Linked DNA regions of Caenorhabditis elegans. The protein of the gene in region 1 purifies or fractionates together with the protein of each later gene. This does not show direct contact. Each region holds a gene or a part of one and is shown in the gene's direction. Other genes may lie near its edges.

Region 1 (10,250 bases):
AAATTTGTGAACACTGTAAACAATTTCTGTACATTTAAATTTATAACTTTAGCTTACGCTTGTATAAAAAACGAATCCATTCAGATTTTCCAGTGAACCCGTCGGTTACTCTTATTATCAAAAGTATCATCAAAACTATAAACGATCCAACAATGTGAACAGAGCTTAATGTCACCAGATTGAAATGAATCGCATAATATGATCTCTAAAAGTGCACCTTATTAAAAATGTACTAACGCAGAATAATGCTAAACTCACTTTGTCGTCAGTCCTTTTTGTCATGTAGTACAACCAGACGACTAAAACAAATGGTACAACACCAATACATGAAACTGTGAAATCTAATTCATGCTCAGCATCTTGCTGAGCACTTGAGTTGCTAGAACTCATATCCAAGAGTGATTAAACTACCAAGGGAGTGTAAGAACCACAAATGTTTTGTGATTGTCAAATATCAGATTGCAATTTTGGAGCAAAGACTTGATCAGCCTGTTACGTTTCAAAGCCTTGTTCAAATACATCTACTTATTCTAGATTTCACCTGTCCCGTTTTGTAAGGACATTTGACGTAGTAAGTTAAAAGGTTATTGAAAATTAATGCTAGTGCATAAAAATATCTAATGAACATATTGATAGCAAGGCAATGCAAAAACGCGAAGGTTCTAATTACCGAAATTCAGAAAGGTCCTGAACAATGAAGACAGACATTCTTTCATACATTTTTATTTGCGTTGGTGCAATAGAAATATCAGAACATGCTCTTTGCATTTAATGTTTTCTGTCAAACGGATAAAAATTATTAAAAAAAAAAATCTCGCCAATGCAACATTTTGAAGAGAATCTAAGTGAAACCAAAATAAGAAGTGATAATCGAAACTATGTTTGTTTCTAATGCACAGTCTTAACCAAAAAACACATTTTCATGTAAAAAAAAACTATAATTCGCAAACCGTTTTAAAGTGATATGAAGTTTTGAACTTGGAGTTTTTGAAACATGACGATTTGTTCGAATCAGCATGGAAGGCTTTCAACTAAATTAAAAAGTGATATAAAGAGCAACAAAAATTTTTATTCCACGGCAATGTTAGATTCAATTGATTGTTTAAAACTGCCTTTTTGCCAACCTATCGGTTGCAACTGTTGGATATAAACTTTTTCGAATATTCTAGTATTTTGTCAGCCGTTAAAAAATGCGTTTTAGAAGTTGAAAACCAATACTTGAAACAAAAACTAATGTAACTAAAACTCTGCAAAAGCTTCTAGAAAACTAAAATAACGTTCATTTTTGACATGGAATTGGAATTATAACATATCTAATTAGAGAGCCGTTACCAGAGATATTAGATTTTTTAAAATGCTAAACATATGAGTGCATTTTTTCAATAAAGCTTTAGACCGATTTTGCCGGAAATTGACTTCTACGATAGATACACATATTACTAGTTTAATCTATTATATTCAACAGTTGTTCAAATTTGTTTGCGTCCCCCCGTTTTCCTGCTTTATTTTCTTTCTCGTTTGCACTAACAATATGAATTGTATGCCCTGTTTCATATGTTATAAATACCCTGTTATGATGAATACACTTGCTGATAACAATAAAATTAACAACGTTACTCTTTAAATATTAACAGAGGAGAGGGTATTCGATAACAAGCACTTTATGTTTCAGGTAGTATCAGAATTGTCCTTTCACGTGTTTTCTATAATGATAGGACGGTTTTATGAAAATATTTTTTAAAAGTATAACCAATTGTTTTCCAGTTTAAGTTTAAATTTTGAGCAACATTCATTTTTCAAAATAATTTTTTCACTTAAAATATTTTTTTAATAGTGAAAACGATGAAGATTTTACAAATGTTTTTCCCCTAAAAAAGGGAAGACATTTTTTTCACAGCAACTCGCGTTATATCCTTCAAGTACTTTTTTTTATTTTTTAACATTTTATTGTAGTAGCTTCACCAGTTATATTATTCCATAGCATCATGTTTAATCACTTTTTATGGTTGAAGCTTCTGAATTTGAAAGGTCATCACTAGCTTTCAATTTAATTTTTTTTATTTCACAAAGCATCGCCCACTTTCCACCCCACACAATTTATTTTATGAATCGCTGCTTGGATTGCCCAAAAGCACACACAAGTGCACATTGGTCCTCGTACATAATTCAATGCCATAGTAACACACTTAGCATCCCCCGGCCGTTCTCGACGACGATTAGTGTAGTCCTAGCCAAAAAGTGTTCACTTGCACTTTTATTTTATTCAAATGAAGTGCGGTTCCATTTGGTGCTACTATGCTACACGTCACGTCGTTTTTTTTCCACTCGTTCTTTTTGTGTATACTAATGCAAAGTGTTTGTTTTTCACTGCGGGGTAAATTTAATCAACAGAGGTTCATATTTCTTGTGTATTGTTTATAAGATCATTCTTGTTGATACTTTTACTTTTGGAACAGTTTTGACAAGAAATGTTAGCTTTTATGTACTAACAAATCAAAGTGTGATGTGAAGAAATACCAGAACTTTCAAAGCCACTTGCAAGAGTATACACAATAAAAGTTTTCGTCGTCGATATTATTTGAAAGTGTTCCTTTCTTGGAAAAAAATTTCTCATGATTTGCTTTTTATTGGTTTGGTTTTCTAGAAGACATTGTTTAATATTTGAAGAAAATTGTCGGAAAAAATACTTGGGGTTCACTAAAAAGTTATTTTTCAAAGTATTTAGAGATTTCTTATTAGTGTAGTTGCGCGGTTATCGAATTTTGTATTTGAAAATTAAATTGTATACATACAAACATTGCAATATCGCCTACCTTACTACCGTACTAATTTTCCATCAAATTGTAGGGGTGTAAGATTAATATAAATTGCAAGAATTATTTTTGTGAAACTGATTTGACGCCAACTAAAAATATGAATGTTTTTCCATTAGGAATTTCAATGGCCATTTTAACTTCGAAAATTGACTTTACCCTAAAAACAAAAAAGTTTACAAAACAAATATTCCACAAAGTATTGCTCGCCTGTCAACAAGTCAATGCTAAACTATTAGGAAACCCAATATTTTCTCTAATACAACTACAGTCACAGGACAATCTATTATATTGTAGAATTTTCTCTGCATATTATTGAAATTTAAAACTTAAATTTGGTTTGGTCTTTTTTTCAAACCCAGTGGATGTTCGTCTGTTGAGCTTTAGAAAAGAAGGCAAACAGTATTAGTCAATGACTGATAAAATTATGCACAACCGAAATAAAAACTAAAGACAAGTAGAGAAAATACAGTATATCATTTTTTTTTCTATGAATTTTTGCTTTAATTAGTGGTTTCTTTATTTGGTTTATAAAATAAGATCGTAAAGTAATATAGCCGCTATCCCTTCCCCGTTTATTACCTTACTACTATACTTTTAGTGACCCACTTTCCATTTTTTGTCCGTCTTCCATTTTCGCTTGCCCACTCCTCTTCCTCCGCAACAAAAATTCTGCGACAGAACAAACACTGCGAGAGCGCCACCTCGTCCTCATCTACTGTGGTGGCCTTCTCACTGTCACTGTGCCGGGGACTCTTTTTCTCTGACTCTGCCCCCCCCCCCCTTGCCTCTCCGGTCGTTTGACCGGCGTACTGGCAGTGTGCCAGCCGGGGTCGTGTGCAAACGCGCTCCGTTGATATTTCATTGGATGCTATCCTTAATCGTCTTGCCCTCCTTTTTTCATGGTCACTTCTTTCATCTACCTGATTTTCGTTTCTTGCTATTGAGATATATCTAAGATTTTTTTTTTAATCTTACCAGTTTCTAAAAATGTGATTGAGTTTTAGGATTATTTGTCTTTAGAAACCTATTCTTCTCTTTTTTTTCTCTAACACTGTATTTCAAAAACTTTTTAAATTTCAGATGAACTTTGACAATACGGTTCATGAATCAAACTTTGATGATCTCCTGCATAACCCAAATTTTCCGCCGCAATTTGACCAGCTAGAGTTGGACGTGAGTTTTCTTTCTGTGTCTTGAAAGGACCACTAATACAAAATATCGATTTTCAGAGCCTACTTTACGGGACCGACGAATCACAAGAATCGACCTCTTCCTCTTCGTTTGGTTTCAGTGATCAGAATGCTGGATTTCGCTCAAGAGACGGCGGGAGTTTAGGAGATTCTTCGTCGGATAGCTCTCCACCGTTGAGTTGTGCAAACTTCACAGAAAATGACCAGGAAATGTGGGATTTTGGCTTTCAAGTAAGTTGTTTTTTTTCGCACAAAACTCGTTAAAAATGTTTGTCGAAACGGATCGTTTACACTCTATTGTTTAATGGAAATGTGTTTTATTTTAAACAACCTTACATGCAAGTTGTTGTGTGTATGATGTTTGCTCCTACCATGAAAACTTAGCACGAAGACAAAATTTTCCTACAGAATTACTTTACTTTTAATTTCGGGGTACGGATACTACACAAAATCTTGTTCAAAATTTAATATCAACTACAAAATCCTAATCTATCAATATCATACTTAGTCGTTTGTTTTGCAGAGTCGCAGTCCATTCGAGAATTTTGAGCAACAATTTGGCTCTCCATATCAGGACGACGAAGTGATTGCCGAGCCCACCAATGAATTCATGAACGCAAGATACCTCAGAGAAGAACCGGCCAAGCATTTGCCCATGCAACAAAAACGAATTATCACAATTCTCCCCAAACAGTCACAGCCTGTGAAACGTATTGTCAGCAGACCAATCCAGAAAGTATACCGCGTCAAGGAATCACCCGGCAGTCAGCAACAAACATACCGAGTTGTTCAGCCCTTGGTGAGCGATTGAACGTCAAGTAAAATAGTTTATTCGAATTTTTTTCAGATGCCATCTCCTTCACAAGCTACGCAACGCCAAATCAAGCAAATGTATTACAATGAGCCGGTTCAAGAAATTCATATGCAACCAAAAAGTGGTCCGCTGGTTCGACAAGTGTCCGAAGAGCCAAGATACGTTCCAATTGCTCCGACAGTAGATATCAAAGCAGAACCACAAGTGAGCTTATCTTCAAAACATATTTAAATTCATGACTTTACAATTTCCAGGTTTTTACTTCCGAGCAAAATCGAAAAATTCGGAACCGAATGTACGCCCAAGCCTCTCGCATGCGCAAGAAGGAAGCCGATGAACATATGAAAATGAACCTTCAGGAACTGCTTCAAGAAAACGAGATTCTAAGAACTGAGAATGCCGCTTTGAAGCAACGCCTTGCGTTTTTTGAAGTAGTTCTGAACTCATAAAAATTTTAACATTTTAAAATACATTTTCAGCACGAAGAGCCAGTTGTCGAAGTTCCACAACCCTTTGGAAGAAATCAGAAGAAAAAAAGAATTATTGCTGCTGGTTCAGTACTAATGATGTTCGGACTTTTTGCAGTCATCTCTCCATTTAATGTCGATAACAATTTGAATATAAACAATCAAATCATGGCAATTTCCAACGAAACTTCTATGGTTGCTCGCCACGGAAGAGTCATCACGTATGAAGATAGTGCTCCTGTTGCAAAAATTGTATGTGTACGAGCTTAATATTTAAAAATCTCTTATAAAAGTTTAGCCTACTCAACAACCAATCCACAACTATCCGAACTCCACTCAAAATGATTGTGATATGTACAAACTAAACGCCACAGAGACAATAAGGTGAGGGACTTGAAAATGAACAATTTTTATAACTGACTACTCTTTTCAGAGTAAACAACGACATTGAGCGCTGGGTACAAGTACATTCATTTGATAATGTTCCAATGAAGTTTTCGGGAGGACTATTAAATAAGGAAGCAATGCGAAAGTTCAACTACGCACAGAAAGTAAAACCAGCCTCAGTTTATGGACCACAGACATTGGCGGTTCAAAAGAAATCAGAGCAAGCGGCGCTCAGATCTCGGGAACGTACATGGAAGCAGTTGGATCTACTGAAGACGTAAGTAGACTTTTTCTTTAATTTAAAATTCATAATGACACGAATGGGCACACTACCGACGTAATCGAACTTCGAGTTCATGTTTTACTTTGTTCACTTTGTATTGAGATGACATGACCGTAATTGCAAACGAAGAAGTCGGACCAATTGAAAATTATTCAAATGCATTTGCAATTCCAGCAGCAAACAACAAAACTATTTCAATAACATGTAAATAATAATTAATTTAAAGCGGAAACAATATTCAACTGGATAACGAGAAAATTCAACGTAAACGACAAGATATTGACAAAATCGCTTCAATTGTTCGCCAAAAGGGAGATACACTGTACATTATGACACTTCAAGACTACGTGCTTCTGCCTTCATTGATTAAAGGAGCAAACTCGGTTCCCAAACTATCGTTGCTCCTGCCTAGTGTTCCAATGAATGGAACTCTCCAAGATCAGGTAACTAGGGAGTTCAAAAAAATATGATTAGTAAAAAAAAATATTTTTGTTAAACTGTAGGCATTGATTTCACAACTGTCAAATTTGCCTTCAGTATCAGAAAAAATATATTAATTGCAAAATTCTCATGTCTCTGTAAGTTTCCTGACGTTCAATGCGAGTTATTTTTTACAGTGACTTTAATTTGAGATTTAGAAATGAATTGATCACAGCCATTGGTTGATTGTAGTTTTTTTAAAATCAATTTGAACGTTCAAGTAGTAGGAGCAGTTATATTTGTGTAGATATTATCAAAAATGTCACTAGTGTTACGTTGCATCGTTATTAGAAAGAGAGACTTTGAAATTTTTTTTTTGATTTTTGGATTAACGGTTTCTTTCATTCTATGGATCTATAGAGTATTAACTGTAACTTTATATGTTTAATTTTGAATTGCCAGAATTTTGACAAAAAAAATTACCAAAGTAGAGCTCTAAAACTGTTGAATAATTCCAAGCTTTTACAAGTTGCAGTTAATAAAATAAAATTTATTCAACCAGTTTAAAAATTGATTTTACAACTCTGAGATATCATGTAGGAATATTGCTTGTGCTTGCCTGCGTGAGATTTAACGGATAGGTTTTACTCGGCATGTGTTCAACAGCTGCAATTTTTAAACCAGTTTCGTAATATGTGCAGCTTTTAGCTAGATTCATATGTAGGTTCACTTCAGTTTTATTGAGTTCAATTTTCAGTATACTCTTCTTCGAGTTGATTGTGAAGTGACAGGGACTGGCCAATTGACACTTTCCAACAAGCAACTTTCATATTTGATGCCGTGATACTGATATTGATCAACAACTACGCTTATTATATTCCCACTTTTCTCAATTTCCGTGCCTTTTTTATTCACCCACTTTACCTTTCTTCTTTTGATTCGTTTTTATCAATCTTTTATGTTAAATATTCATTATGCATTTCTGAAATCGCCGGTCACCGATCAACCTCTTTTTGTTGTACCCGTTTTCGCTGCGTCTCTCACTTTACATCAATCATATTCCGGTCTTTTTCGATTGTCTTTATTTCTCTCAAACTCTCTTATCTCAGTCTTATTCCTATTCCAACACATATGTATTGTATATTAATTACCATTCGTTTTCTCATCATTTTACCAGTTTTTCAGAATTTTATCAACCACAAAACTCCATACAAAATATGCCAGTCATTGTCTCACCAAGTTCTAGTTGAAATCACCCAATTCTCATAACATAGTCATTCAGTTACACCACCATTGATGATATTCATCTTTCATGATATGTTTTATTTTGAAAGTCACTTTATTAATCTCGGGGTCTTAATTTATATAGTTTGATGTTCCTTTTTCTATTCAAATTCTAATTATAAGTGCCTAATTATCTGGGATTTTTGCATTTTTCTTGTCAATAATTATCTAAATGAAGGGTTCAAAATATTAGTTTCAAACGAAAAATTGGGTTCTATGTTTACCTGCACTGGTTTTTCTACTAGCTTTGTTATTTTCCGTTTGTTTCTACCTATGTTGTCTTTTCTCCTCCTTTCTTTTTTTTTTAAAACCTTTTTCACCTTCTACCTCTACCTTTCAGAATGACGTCTCGATATATGGAACGTCTTGCAAAAATCGAGGAGGTACTTCTCATTGCAAATAAGAAAATCGATATTAACGAATTGAGAGCCGGGTGTAGCTACGGAGTTCCCGAATCTCTGCGACCGTTGGCATGGCGTTTGCTTCTGCACTATCTCCCATTGGAGCGTCACAAGTGGCAAACATTTTTGGCCGAACAGAGAGATAACTACGATCAGATGATTGAGCAGATAATCGTGGAGCCGGGAACAGCGTCTTTGCAGCAAAGTGCTGCTCAAAATCAGGATAATGATCATGTATGTTTTGTTGTTTCGTTAAAGTTTAAAGAATTCAAGTTAAATAAAAGAAAGAAATAATGTAGACATCCCATAGATTCTTGTATTCAAATATGTTATTCCCCAAAAAGTTGTTTTTAAAGGCAAATACACTTTTGAAATTACATGACAAACAAGATTTCAAAAAAAAACTTCAAATTGAAAGAATTTATACAAAATTTGAGTTTTCAACCTGTCTATAAAAATTACTTGTTTGAATCCTACAATGTCTAGATACAATTTATTAAAATAGACTCAAAACTTGAAAATTATAGACACAGTTTTTCTAAAATTGTAATATGTATGTGAGGACTAAGTGAACTTTTCGACTGTAAACAATGTAATTTTCAAACAATTTTTCCATCAAACTTCATTATTTTGGCAATGTTAAAGTGGTTTCAAAATTTTCTATTAGCACTACTCCACAGTTAAAATTTTATGGATGGTGTGTCAAATCAATCCAGTTAAAACATAACCTTTTTACTCTATCAGTTTGCCGAATGATGTAATATACTTTATTAGCTACGATATAACATTATTTTTTTAAAGCATTGAAATTGACACAAGCAAAACTGAATAACAAGTTTTTAATCCATAAAAAGAGATATGACTTCTAGAAATAAAGATTAATTTTTTGAAAATTGAATTATCTATCACCAACCTATCCGGGACTTTCCACTCAGTAGTTCACAAGTTAGAGATGTTTCATTTTTCTCATTTTGAGGTGCGCTACAGTAATCGCATGGGTTAAGTTCATCTGGTATTTCTTTCTGACCAATTTGCGAAACTATTTGGATTGTTGACTGTTCTGAACTTAGTTTCCAAACTAGTATTTATTATTATATTTATTTTGATTTGAATGTAAAAAAATTGATACTCGAATTAACAACGAAAAACGTTTGCTTTTAAAGTTGTAAGTCCATTTTGTTTAGCCAAGAACCCTTTTTTTTTTCTAAATTTCCATGATCCCGTTTTTTAGAAATTCTTTAGATTCAAAACGATATCAATATTTCGAAAAGGTGCATCCCTCGTTAGTTCAAAAAGAGAAAAAAAAACAAAACTTGTGTTCTGTTTTTTGCGTAGGTGCGACACAAAACTTTATGACTCTAAGATACGTGGGAACTTTCGAATATCAAGTGCGGAAACGTTTTTTCTTCTCAGAACCTTTAATCTACTCCCTCAGTTCGGTTTTCCCAAGCGCTCCGAAAGTGTAGGTGGCGGATAAGAAATTAAACATCACAATTTATACTATTATAGGAACAGCTCAAAATAGAAAGCTTAGTATGCCACCTAAGAGCAAGAACCATATATGAGCTCAAAAAGAAATATGTTGAATAATTAAGGATTTGTAGCTTTTAATCTTATTTCAAAGAGATTATCTATACTTTTTTTACGCATACAACTAAATACATTACACACCAATACAAGTTAATGAAATTAAGAATAGATACATATTTGTTCATGATTCATCAAGTTGAAAATATGATGCATATCTCATATCTGTATATCAGTTTAAAAAATACAATATCCCATACAAATTAAAAATAAACTATGTACAAAATTGCATTTTTATTTTTAACAATTTGATTTATTAGTTGTTTCATTCTTCTTATAATTTGTTTGCAAGATATGAACAATGACTGCAAATTTCATATATCGAATTCTCCCAGACCATTTAGAATTTGAATGGATAGAATCTTCAATTCTATCACTAACATTTAATTGATCATTCCTATGATGTTTAAAAGTGTGCACTCAACAAATCCATTTTTGATATTTTATTCATTTTTAATTGGTAAGAGAGAAATAGAACAATATTAAATCTCCTAAAACTTGAGCACTCTAAAAAATGAATGAAGAATTAAAAAGCGCTAATCTAACACTAAAACAATTTTTGTACTTGAGATATGGCGTGTATTTTTGCGTAATCGTTCGA
Region 2 (6,394 bases), on another chromosome or scaffold:
AATTAGCGAGAGAATTTTTTGACAAAAAGAAAGAAGAGTGATAGAGAAGAAGGGAATGCTTGAAAGGATCTTGCATTTATTGCTCCGATTCGTAAGTCTCTCCAGCTTCTCCCTCAGCGTATCCGTCGACGTCGTCTTCGGCAGTTGCTTCTTGGTATTGTTGGTATTCTGAGATGAGATCGTTCATGTTGCTCTCGGCTTCGGTGAACTCCATCTCGTCCATTCCTTCTCCAGTGTACCAATGGAGGAAAGCCTTGCGGCGGAACATAGCTGAAAAAATAACGTTTTTAAAACTGATACTGGATGATAGTTTCAAATTTCTTACCAGTGAACTGCTCTGAGATACGCTTGAAAAGCTCTTGGATAGCGGTCGAGTTTCCAACGAAGGTGGCAGCCATCTTGAGTCCTCTTGGTGGGATGTCACAAACGGCGGTCTTGACGTTGTTCGGGATCCATTCGACGAAGTAGGACGAGTTCTTGTTCTGAACGTTGAGCATTTGCTCGTCAACCTCTCTCATCGACATGCGTCCACGGAACATAGCGGCCACGGTCAGGTAACGTCCGTGTCTTGGGTCACAGGCAGCCATCATGTTCTTGGCATCGAACATTTGTTGGGTGAGCTCGGCGACGGTAAGGGCACGGTAAGCCTGGGTTCCCTTGGCGGAAAGTGGTGCGAATCCTGGCATGAAGAAGTGAAGACGTGGGAATGGAACCATGTTGACGGCAAGCTTGCGGAGATCGGCATTGAGCTGTCCTGGGAATCGGAGACAGGTGGTAACTCCGGACATGGTGAGGGATACTGAAAATTGTAATTATTAGGTTTCAATTTGGGTAACTTGTGCATAACTTAAACTTGAACAAGAAATAATAACTTACCAAGATGGTTCAAATCACCGTAGGTTGGGTTGGTGAGTTTGAGGGTACGGTAGCAGATGTCGTAGAGGGCCTCGTTGTCAATGCAGTAGGTCTCATCGGTGTTCTCAACAAGCTGGTGGACGGAGAGGGTGGCATTGTATGGTTCTACAACTGTGTCGGACACCTTTGGCGATGGTACAACCGAGAATGAGCTCATGATTCTGTCTGGGTACTCTTCGCGGATTTTGGAGATGAGAAGTGTTCCCATTCCAGATCCGGTTCCTCCTCCGAGAGAGTGAGTGAGTTGGAATCCTTGAAGACAATCGCATCCTTCGGCTTCCTTGCGGATCACGTCAAGCACATTGTCGACAAGCTCAGCTCCTTCTGTGTAGTGACCCTTGGCCCAGTTGTTTCCGGCTCCGCTTTGTCCGAACACAAAGTTGTCAGGACGGAACAGCTGGCCGAATGGTCCAGAGCGGACAGAATCCATGGTTCCTGGTTCGAGATCGACCAACACGGCGCGTGGCACATACTTTCCGTCTGAAAAAATTTAATTAATTAATCATTCCAACTAAACGATTTCGAAATCTCCAGAAAATTTTAAAAACTCACTGTTGGCTTCGTTGTAGTAGACGTCAATGCGCTCAAGCTGGAGATCCGTCTCTCCCTTGAAGGTTCCGTCTGGCTGGATTCCGTGCTCGTCGGAGATGACCTCCCAGAATTTGGATCCGATTTGGTTTCCGCATTGTCCGGCTTGCACGTGGACGATCTCTCTCATTTTTGCTGAAAAGGTCGTAATGAATTGAAAAACTATATTTAGATAGAGAAGATGAAGGAAAATAACAAAAGAAAGAGAACACGTCATGGTCGATATTGAAAAGCAATGATTCACGGCAAAAATTTAAAATTAAAGGAGTAAGTTTTTTTAATACATTGAAATTTGAGAGATGTTTAATTGGTGATTTGATTCTAGTTTATTGTGCTCTGAAATTAAATGATTCACGGCGAAAATAAGAAATTAAAAGACGAATTAGGAATAAGGTTGAATAAGGTTACCTTGAAAAATATAAGAGATGTTTAATTGGTGATTCTTTTCTATTCTATATAGGTTGATTCTAGTTTATTGCACTCCGAAATTAACTACTTTCGATAAAAATTTCAGCGCAAGTACCTTTCTATTTGCTCTAAAATGAGCCCACTTTTCATAATCGCTACCCCAAAAAGGAAACAAAAGGACGTTGTAGGAGCAGACATGCAGCTCTTGGGATGTATGGAATGGAGACGAAGAAGAGGCGGGTCGGGCGCAGTTGTGTCCGACGCTGTGTGCATTCGGATCGATAATCGCGAGAACACGGGGCGCGCGGCGCCCGCTCGCATTAAAAACCGCAGTGGCCACTGGGGCAGCAGTCGTTGTTGGACTGCAAAGGGTGGTGAAATCGAATAGACTATTGCGAAATATGCAGATATGGGTAGAATGGGTGAAGAGGAAGAGAGCAGAGGCAAATCTATTGCGAAACATACACAAAATGTCCATCAATTCCCTCTCTTTTTGCTTAATCCATTTGTTTTGCGTGTCACCACTAGGTTTGGCAGAAGGAGATAGAGCACACGACACAGATGGCTTTTCATCGGGTGCAATTTGGTGCTATTGGTTTGGGGTAGAGAGGGAGATGCCGCTTGGCGCGCAGTAATCCTATGGGAACCGAATGAAATGTGCTGGGGGCCTGCAGCTTTGAAAAGCCTTCAGAATAAAAGAGATGAAGACGAACCGTGAAGAAAAACGAGGGACAAAAACTAGTTCAATGCGATGGAAATCGTACCCCTGTTGACGGCTGCGGTGGTGGTGAATTGAGAATTGCGGAGAAAAGAGAAACGGAGATGACGTGGCAGTGACAATCGGCTTGGGGTCGCCTATACAATACGATACATATGCAGCCAATACTTCGTCACACATGCAGCCAGTCAGAGAAAGGTCAATTACCGTAGTACACGCGCCAGGAGACAATGTTAATGGGTACTATCTAGATCAGTTGCTGGTTGGATAACGATTTTAAAATACAATCCAAATCAACGGGAAGCTTCAAAAAAAAATTCCAAGAAATAACTGACGAAAAAAGTCGAGTTAAGGGTCGTGTGTCGGCGCTGGGGACGAAAAAGAGCTCTACTCTTACCCCCACTTTCCGTTGTCGATGAGACACATTATACCAAGCGAGAAACATAGAGACTGGCGCCGCCCGTGCTTCCCTCCCTTCTCCCGTCGTTTTTCTCTCCGCGCCCTCTATGTTTCGGATGGACAGGGACGCGAATGCTTTGTGACGGCCTTGACCAACGGGCGACAGCGGTGTCCCTTACCAACCCGCCACAGGCGAGGCATTTCAAAAAATGTGCCCATCCATCTAGCAATTTGAAAAGACGACGCGCCTGGCTTACGAAGTTAAGGAACTAGCCAACTGAAAAAGTGGAACTCAAAATATTAATCAGTTGCAAAGAGAAATTCTATTTCTGTGATTCATTCGGCGCCGAAAAGTAGAAACAACAGAAGAATTTGAGCTGATAACACGCAATCTAGGGAAATGATAAGAACAGAAACAAACAGCAAACAGTTTTTTGGGGAAATTATAATGGAACAGATACTAAAATGACCCGAATAACCAGAAACCATGACAAGCTGTGCAAATATGTTACACGAGAAGTACTTGTACATGTCGAAAATGATGAATGGTATCCGCCTATTGCGCCCGGTTGAGCTGATCGCAGCAAGGACATAATAATTATATATCAGATAAACACGGTGGCTGACCTTCAAGAAAGATTATGGCGGCCTATTTTATGCAATTTTATGCATCAATCACGAATAAAACTACAAAATTACAATTTCCCCAGTCTCCTAAACCGCTGAGAAGGGAATAGTTTATGAATGAGTCACCTTTCACAGGAAATGGAACAGAAAAAGGAAGCTAAAATGAGGGGCAGAACGTTTTAGGACAGACCATTTGCAAATTTAAAGCGCGAAACGATGCAGAAGTAGCTTGAAAGCGTTTTAGGCAAAAAATTGCAAAAAAAAGTAGCGAATGAAGATGAGAATGACAAAAAGAGGGAATGTTCGAGGCCTAAAATTCAAAATTTGCCGCCCAACAAAATTTCCCGCGCACACAAATGTGCATTATTGCGCGTCGGTGTACAATAAACTGTGCAAACACCGTTGTACACCGTACCCCTCCAGAAAATTGTTTTTTTTTTTGAAAAAGCAATTTTTCGAATTCTTTTATCCAACTTTCTCCTCCGTATAACTGTTTGAATTCAATTTTTAAATAAATGGACAGAAAGTTCAATTCTGATGAACAATGGTATATTTCTCCACTGCTCAATTTAGCCACAGTGAAGGAAGAGATGCTGGAAGTTCGAGAGTTGGGAGAAGGTTAGTTTATTATCTTAAAACAATCGAATATTGTCGAATTTTCAGTTATTATCGATAGAACAATGGACGATTTCGATTCAAAAACCGAAAAAGAACATGAAATGGAAATGTGGAAGAACAGTCTGTCTTATATTCAAGGAGTAACAGAAGAAGAATCATTGGAAGCTATTGAAGAAGTTTCAAAGTAAAGTAAATTTCAAAAAATCGAAAAACAACTAATTTTATTGATTTTCAGCCTCGATATGTTTCTGGAGGGGTCATCAGACGTTCAAACTCGACGATTTGAAGATATGAAGGGGGATCGCAAGTTCCTCGAACGATCACCGCTAGTTTCCCACAAGTAAATATTATTTAAACCTTTTATTCAAAAACTATAATTTTTCAGACATGTGATAAGTCGAGAAAAGACTATGAAAACTTCAAGGCAGCGGAAGTCCGCATATGTCACGTCACTGAAATATGACAAATACATGTTGAACGCCGGAGCAAATACTTCTGTAAATTAATTAATAAAAATAAAAATCTTTATAAAATAATTTTTCCAGCTTTTCCATCCTCAATGTTCAATATTAGAGAAATGTGAAGATGACATTGTCCTTATCGTTGATGCACTGATGCCATACAATCGAGAACTTTTATCTTCTGAACTTCGGAGCTCGCGACTTTTGAAGCCAATGACCAAGTTTCTTGTTCGTGGAGACACCCTTCTTTCGGATTTACGGCAGAAATTTGTATGATTTTTTGAATTTAAAACACACATTAAATATTTAATTTTTTTTAAACTTTCAGGTATGTCAAAGTGATACAATTGTTCCATTGGAGAATGGTTTGGAGCTGGATCCACCGAATTTGGATAATGCAACCGCAGTTCGATTTCCATCATCATTTATATTTGTTCATGATACCTTTTATGTGGATATGCCACCCAATGCAATTGACATTTCACAGTAATTAGTAATTTTCTTTAGAAAAATGTTTAAAAACATTTTTCAGCCCAATCCGCAACTTTATGCTTCACCGCGAGATTTATGATCCAGTGGAGGCTTGTAGTATGGAAGGAGTCAGAATTATTGACCTGAAGCTGCGTCTAGGGCAGCCGTACATATTCCAGCATTCTGGGAATTGTGAACATCTACTCGTTTTTCATGATTTGCGACTTCTTCATGAATCGGACCCGTGGGGAATCGATAAATATCCATTCACCTTATACGAGAAGGGAAATGAAAAGAAATGTGATATTTGTAAAAAAGGGCATGTGGAGTAAGTTTAATTCGCAAAAATTATTGTTTTTCCTCAAAGTAAATTAATTTAAAATTTTACATTTCCAGATTCGTCGTCGAACGCCACGAGCTTCTTCCCAACACCTACACACACTTCTGCAGGACATGCTTCCAGGAGTTCAACTATGTGCATGGTGTCAAGACGCATTCATTCATTGCTTGGCCGTATACAGAACTACAGACTGGAGAGCAAAGAGGATGGCCGTTTGGAGATTTTGAACAAGAAGATGATTGAAATAATTTTGATATTTATTTCTATTTATTTTGCAAAAACTTTATGTTTTTACTGGTATTTTTTATAGAAAAAAGGAAATGCTGGACATTTAAAAATTTTATTGTTCTTTTTTAATTGGATTTCATCTGATTGGTTTTGTAAACCATTTTTATATATTTAAATTTGAGTTTTTAAAACTATTGAATTCACTCGACAGGCGTATACGTATTGTGCGTCGAAACACGCTTTTACTCGTATAATTAAATTAAGAAGCGTGTTTTGACGCACAATACGCAACTCGGAACTTATGCGGCAATTCGAAATTAATTCAACCGTTTAAATTTATTTCGAATATTTGCAATCTTTATCAAATATTTAGACCACCTTAAAGAATAACAACTTATTTCAGGAAAAATGAACGATTTTCTCAATTTCACACAACAAAAACGCGAGGAGCCGCAGCAGCTGGTCCTAATCAAATATCCAGGAATTGTCAAAAATGTTGATAAGGTTGGAATACATACGGTATTCAGCAAATAAATTGTCTCTTTTCAGGCACTTCAAACGATGGGCGGTCTCCAACTAATCAGTCAATCTCACTTCAATAATCATTCACTGGAATTAAGT
Region 3 (5,625 bases), on another chromosome or scaffold:
TAGCTTCTCCCACAAAATTACACTATTCATATCACTTTTTGACGTCGCCTCTTCGTTTTTTCTCCTCACCCTGCTTGTCGAATTCCTCCGGTTTTCTGACGTGTACCCCGCCTCCTCTTTCGTTTTTTTTCGCTCCTGGACCCTTCCGATACTTTGCACCAAAAATAAGAAAGAGAGAAAGAGAGATGATGATGGACATCATATGTGGAGAACAGGAAGAGATTGAAATACTTGAAGAACTACGAAAACAAAGAAAAAGTCTATTGAAATGCAAAACAGGGATTTTTTCTTCAGATCTATTTATTGTTTCCCGATATCTAAAATTGAACACCGTAGGGCATGTGATTTTTCCAGATTCGCCGATCCTTCGAGCATGACGACCCTCAGACAAAGCTAAGCGACGATCTCATTTAAAAAAATATACGTTTTTTCCAATTTTCTGATAATTTTAAAATTCACAGTTTGTTTTCAGGCTTTTTTCAAATTTTTCTAAAAAGGGCAGTCTTTCTTTTTTTTTTCTTTTTGTTGGATGCACAGAGCCCTCCAAAACCTCAGGTTTTGCGGTTTCTTGAAGCAAATCATGTTGATAACTGTATCCCTGTACTGTGATTACTGAAGAAAAAAAAACAAATATAATAATATATCATGGAGTTGGTTATTTGAAAAGTTAAAATAAAGTATTGAACTTTTACAAATGTCTGACTGAAAATAGTTTGAAAGTATTTAGAAGAATGAAGCTGAAGGTGTTCTAGACCGCTCTCCGACAATCGTATCGTTGTTCAAAGAAGATCAGCGATTTTCGATCGAAGAGGAGAATAAGACTGAAGGTGACGGAGCTAACTACGAGAATGAGGTGAATATGTGCTGTTCCACTCGGACAAAGGTTACCGGATGTCTAATTTTTTGGTCGCAAAGATGAATCAAATGTGAAAACTCAAAAAATACAAGTAACCATTCATTCAAGGAAAAAAATTTTGGGAACTCGATAGTAGATCACAAGAGCGGGCTGGTAATGGCAGAACATTACAGGAAGTATTGACTACGGTTGGCAGATTGCTGAAAATAAATTAGTTACGACTACAAACATTCGAACTTTATACCTTTTTCACCAGCTTGAAATTGCCTTCCTTGGAGTTCTTCTTCTCGTGTCCCTTTGTTTCCTTGCTCTCTTTCGTATCGCAACTGTCCTTGTTACCATCTTTACTGTTCTTTCTCACAACGGGAATCGACAGAAGTGGTTCATTTGGAAGAGAGATCATGCTGATATTGTCATTCTGGGCAGCAGTTTCCTCTTTGATCTCAACTTTTTGCGTCGCCTGAGTTTTTTGGTCTTCCATATCAGGTCCATCTTCCGAAGAAGATCTTGTTTCGAGTGGAAGTGGATGATCTTTGCATTCTTTTGGATGTTCAGTCTTCGGAGATTTGTGCTCTTTGCATTCTTTGTCCTTTTTGATAGGTTTCAGAATCTTTTCGCAAATCTTTTCCATGCATTCTTGTGCTTTTTCTGCTGGAGAATGATGTGGAGTAGCTTCTTTTGGAACAACTGGAACAGGCTTGGCATCAGCTGGAATGATGTTGAGTGCTGGTGTGGATGGTGTTGTTGGTACGTGATCCACTTTTCCACGTGTCTGGATGAACTGCTGGATGTTCCAAGTGAGAAGCTCAACTCTCTGAAATATAATACATAAACCTTGCTTTCCACTGAAGTCACACTCACATCATCTAAATCCGAGTCATCCCAGTAGCCATTATCCTTTCCGTAGTTGATCAGAATCTGCACAAGTGCCATGTATTGAATGTCAACTTGAATACTTCCGGCTCGGCTGTCTTAAAAAACGTGATTAATAAAAATCATCATTTCAATATTAACTTACTTCTCAAGGCTCTACAAGTTCCCAGCAAATCCAGTTCTTTCCCATCCGTCAGTATTTGAAGACATGCTTCAATCGCAACAAAAGTGCCTGTTCGGCCAATTCCGGCGGAGCAGTGAACAGTGACTGGGCCGGAAGCTGTGCGCACAATGTAGAGCATTCGGAGCAAAGCCATCGTAGAGTTAGGGACACAACGGTCAGGCCTGAAAGTAATTCTATTATTATAAAGATTTTCAGTTTGAGTTTTCTGATTTTGGTTTTTCAATGACACTAAACCGAATGTTGTTCTGTAAAGATCAGTGGCTTACCATGACTTTGTATGCAAATGCTTCAAAATATGTTCCTTCCCATTGTCCACATTTCTAACTGATAATGTTCTTTTGATGATATTCGCATCCTTATCATCCTCCAATGAACACAGAATGGTCCATGCTCCGAAAGTCATTGCTTCTCCAGCTTTTTCCGGATAGTATTGGGCACATTTAGCCTTTCCGTCTTCCATCACCTCACATAGCATCACAATGTAGGCAGTCTTCGTGTGAACAACCATTCTCCAGAAATCAATGACAGTTGCTGCAGTGGCGCCTTGTGTCAAAATGAACGGAGCGTTCAAACCATTTACATAGTTTGCATGGATATAATCTCCATCACCACCATCACTGAGAATCACGCGTGTTATGTCATTGCAAACAACATCTGAAATATTAATTTTAATTCGATTCAAGTTCCTATATTTCATACCTTTATAGCGATTCTTTGTTGGGTTCGCGTCAAAGATTTTCCGTTCCATTGGCTGACCAGGATATGGTTTCACTTTTGTCATGAATTCGACTGAGTACTCTGGAGGATTCTTCTTGACAGCATCACTTGCAAACTTGAAGAAAACCTTCTTCTGTACATCCGACAGTGGATCGCCTTTTAACTGAAAATCATAAATTCGGATTGAGAAGTGCTTTCTCTTTTTATTGTACTTTCCACCCGGACGAGGTCTCTCAGTCTACCTGCACCCTTCCCGATGTATACGGGAATGTATAATAATATAATTAACGTCCAAAAAGTCCAAAAGTATTTACCGGGATTATGGCATGCGTTTTTTCGTTATTGAAGTGGATCTTCTTGTCAGGATTCCAGACCGGATGAGAACATGCTCGTTTCCGTTCGGTTCCTCTTTTTGGTTTTCTCCTTTTCTGGGTGCTTCCAACCTCTTCCTTTTTCTCATTGTGAAGAACTGAAAGAATTCAGATTTTTCTAAATAATACTGTATGATTAAACTCACGAAATCCCAATCTTTTCAGTACTCCTCCTTTCTTTTTATCCTTTTCATCAACTTTTTCGTCAGATGGCTTTTTCGCAAGGCGTCGAGATGCCTGTTGATCATCCTGCGAATTTCCACGTGTTCCCTTTCTTCGTTGCATTTTATTTCAGTTCACTGATCCGTTGATTGATGGATTACACTATCTCGGAACGATTCGTTTTTTTCGAGAAGCGTCGGTTTTATTTTGATTTCTTCGTTCGAAGCTGACGAAGACAAATGTAGAAATAATTCAACTTTCGACTAATCTCTGATATTGACAACTTTCAAATAAGGAGGGGGGGGGGGACGTGGAAGTTCAAATTAAAAAAATATATACATATATGTTGTTGTAATTGTATTTTACGTTTTTACGAAAATAACATTTTCTAAATTTCACATTTCTGAAATGCGTGAACTTTTATTTCTGCCAACGAACTTAAACAATCTTATTTACAAATCTACTACGACTTCGAACAATCAAATTTATTCCTGACTTTTCAAAAGTGAGAGATGGTAAAACCGGCAAATACTTCGTCTTCACTTATCACTAAAAGAGTTTTGACTCTCGGTAATAATGTCACAATTGATATATACGATCATCATTATTATCCAATGGTAAGTTCATTTTTAAAAACTTCTAATCTTTTGAAATTTTTCAGTGGTTTTGGATTGTAATTTCTGTTGGATTTGTCTTCTGTACTCTGAGCTGTGCTGTTTGGTTTATGTGTGCTATGTGGAGATTGAAAAGTAATATTAGAATATTCTAATATTCTGTGGAACTTTTCCTGTCAGGCTTTTGCTCAGATAAGATTTTCTTTGCTCTCAGAATCCTAGCTCTGGTTTAGGTGGTGCTTTGATATTTTTTGCAAAAGATCTCTAATGGGGTTATTTAAGTAATGTAGCAAAATGTATTTAAATACATTTGTGACCTCACAAATGTATTTAAATACACGTTTTTATATACTTGAATACAGTTGTGACGTAATTTTTCTACACTTTTTAATTTTCCGACACTACTTGAATAACCCCATAAGAAACAATCAAAATGTGTATGTTGGAATTTTAGAACTGGATGTTTTTCAGAGGGTAAAGAATGTAACCATCCATCGTTTGAAGCGCGTACCGTTGTGACAAAAGATGGAGAAGAGAAACCGGATCCCAAAATGGCTCAAAAATCAGAAAAGACTTGTAAAAAATTAGGTGCATTGGGTGAAGCTGAATCGTTGGCCAAGAGCTTCAAAAGTATCAGATCGAAAAAGTCGATGAAGTCTACAAAATCCAAGAAATCTGAAAAAGATGTAGGACATGATGATCATAAGAAGGAAGATGTTCATGGTGATCAAAAGGATGATAATAAAGATCGAAACGATGGAGGACGAGATTCTCATGTTGTTCAGATGGAACATAATTCTGAAGAGGAACACGAGCCGAGTGGATTTAAAAAGGTTTTTTTTAATCGTTGAATTTTGAAGGTACCTCAGATAAATCAAACCACGCAGGCAACGCGTCTAGACCACGCAGAAGCTGGCAGTCTTGAGCGTGGTTGTAGGCGTTGCCTGCGTGGTTTGGAGCGGCACCTGAGCCGCTTATCGTAGAAAAAGCTTTGATGAGCACAAAGAAAATAAGAAAATATTGCTGCCAACAATTGGAAACTTTTAATGAAATATTTTTACAGCTGGGCAAGTCTTTCTTCAACTTCAAAAAGTAGCAAACTCTCTTCACCTTCACCAAAGAATAGCAAATGTTGAATGCTCCAAACTTGTAGACTTATAGAACTGTAGAGCATCTTTATTTATGAATGAAACTGTTCACAAATGCCATTCTACTTATTTTAAACACCTTCTGAGCCAATTACCAGGAAAATTTCAAATTTTAAACTGCAATTTATATCCTCAACTTACTACTTTTTTTCTTGATTTTCACACGATATTTGAATTTTTCAATAAAATCATACAGCCGATTAAATAAATGAATGCCGTGAGTTCTTCCTGTTCAAAATAACAATCGAAATATGAATCTAAAATTCTGAAAAATCGTACTGCATTCAGTTTAATTTTCCATTATCAGATGATGAAACATATTTATTTCGAACAAAATTATTCATAGCCAACGATAAACTTTAGGAATCCGAAGTTAGTCTTCAAGATATCCCAGATCACATTGAAGAAATGGCTAAACTCTTCCCAAATTCCAGAGAAAACCTTGTTCACAAGCATCGGACGATAGGCACATAACTAATCTCGGAATTTTCGTCTGATAGCCAAACTCCTGTCATTTGGTTACATCGGATACTGTACTTATCAGACAAATCATGGCGGCGAACTGTTGAGAAATTCTGGAATTGAAACTTGTTTATAATATTTGAGATTCACAACAGCAAACATAATTAAAATTAGAAAACAACGAGTATTTCTCGAAATTTAAACAAATACTTTTAGAAGATCGGATTCTAACTCCATT

What was found.
Region 2: the proteins of atf-6 (region 1) and snpc-3.4 fractionate together in Caenorhabditis elegans (co-fractionation; one large-scale study listed by BioGRID). This does not show direct contact.
Region 3: the proteins of atf-6 (region 1) and T22C1.9 fractionate together in Caenorhabditis elegans (co-fractionation; one large-scale study listed by BioGRID). This does not show direct contact.

Annotation. Positions count from the first base shown.
Region 1 is NC_003284.9:12,477,052-12,487,301, forward strand, and holds atf-6 (Transcription factor atf-6 homolog), read left to right. Parts: upstream 1-3,896; coding exon 3,897-3,989; intron 3,990-4,045; coding exon 4,046-4,237; intron 4,238-4,529; coding exon 4,530-4,805; intron 4,806-4,853; coding exon 4,854-5,024; intron 5,025-5,074; coding exon 5,075-5,251; intron 5,252-5,299; coding exon 5,300-5,539; intron 5,540-5,585; coding exon 5,586-5,671; intron 5,672-5,720; coding exon 5,721-5,951; intron 5,952-6,183; coding exon 6,184-6,400; intron 6,401-7,134; coding exon 7,135-7,221; 3' UTR 7,222-7,853; downstream 7,854-10,250. Other genes in the region: F45E6.1 (Serpentine Receptor, class Z), read right to left, coding at 1-13, 58-205, 259-390; tbc-13 (TBC1 domain family member 13), read left to right, coding at 8,003-8,296. UniProt on the Caenorhabditis elegans protein: Transcription factor. Plays a role in the unfolded protein response (UPR), perhaps mainly during constitutive endoplasmic reticulum (ER) stress, by activating transcription of genes involved in the UPR.
Region 2 is NC_003281.10:4,015,990-4,022,383, forward strand, and holds snpc-3.4 (snRNA-activating protein complex subunit 3), read left to right. Parts: upstream 1-4,047; 5' UTR 4,048-4,170; coding exon 4,171-4,273; intron 4,274-4,318; coding exon 4,319-4,457; intron 4,458-4,508; coding exon 4,509-4,613; intron 4,614-4,658; coding exon 4,659-4,770; intron 4,771-4,818; coding exon 4,819-5,004; intron 5,005-5,062; coding exon 5,063-5,220; intron 5,221-5,266; coding exon 5,267-5,533; intron 5,534-5,601; coding exon 5,602-5,788; 3' UTR 5,789-5,894; downstream 5,895-6,394. Other genes in the region: tbb-2 (Tubulin beta-2 chain), read right to left, coding at 77-270, 326-799, 877-1,395, 1,468-1,633; tftc-5 (General transcription factor 3C polypeptide 5), read left to right, coding at 6,182-6,277, 6,323-6,394.
Region 3 is NC_003279.8:7,955,034-7,960,658, forward strand, and holds T22C1.9 (uncharacterized protein), read left to right. Parts: upstream 1-3,613; 5' UTR 3,614-3,675; coding exon 3,676-3,780; intron 3,781-3,824; coding exon 3,825-3,912; intron 3,913-4,248; coding exon 4,249-4,610; intron 4,611-4,840; coding exon 4,841-4,873; 3' UTR 4,874-5,125; downstream 5,126-5,625. Other genes in the region: T22C1.8 (Protein-tyrosine phosphatase), read right to left, coding at 1,024-1,056, 1,101-1,670, 1,718-1,827, 1,875-2,074, 2,180-2,567, 2,613-2,793, 2,945-3,099, 3,148-3,286; T22C1.12 (C6 domain-containing protein), read right to left, coding at 5,372-5,500.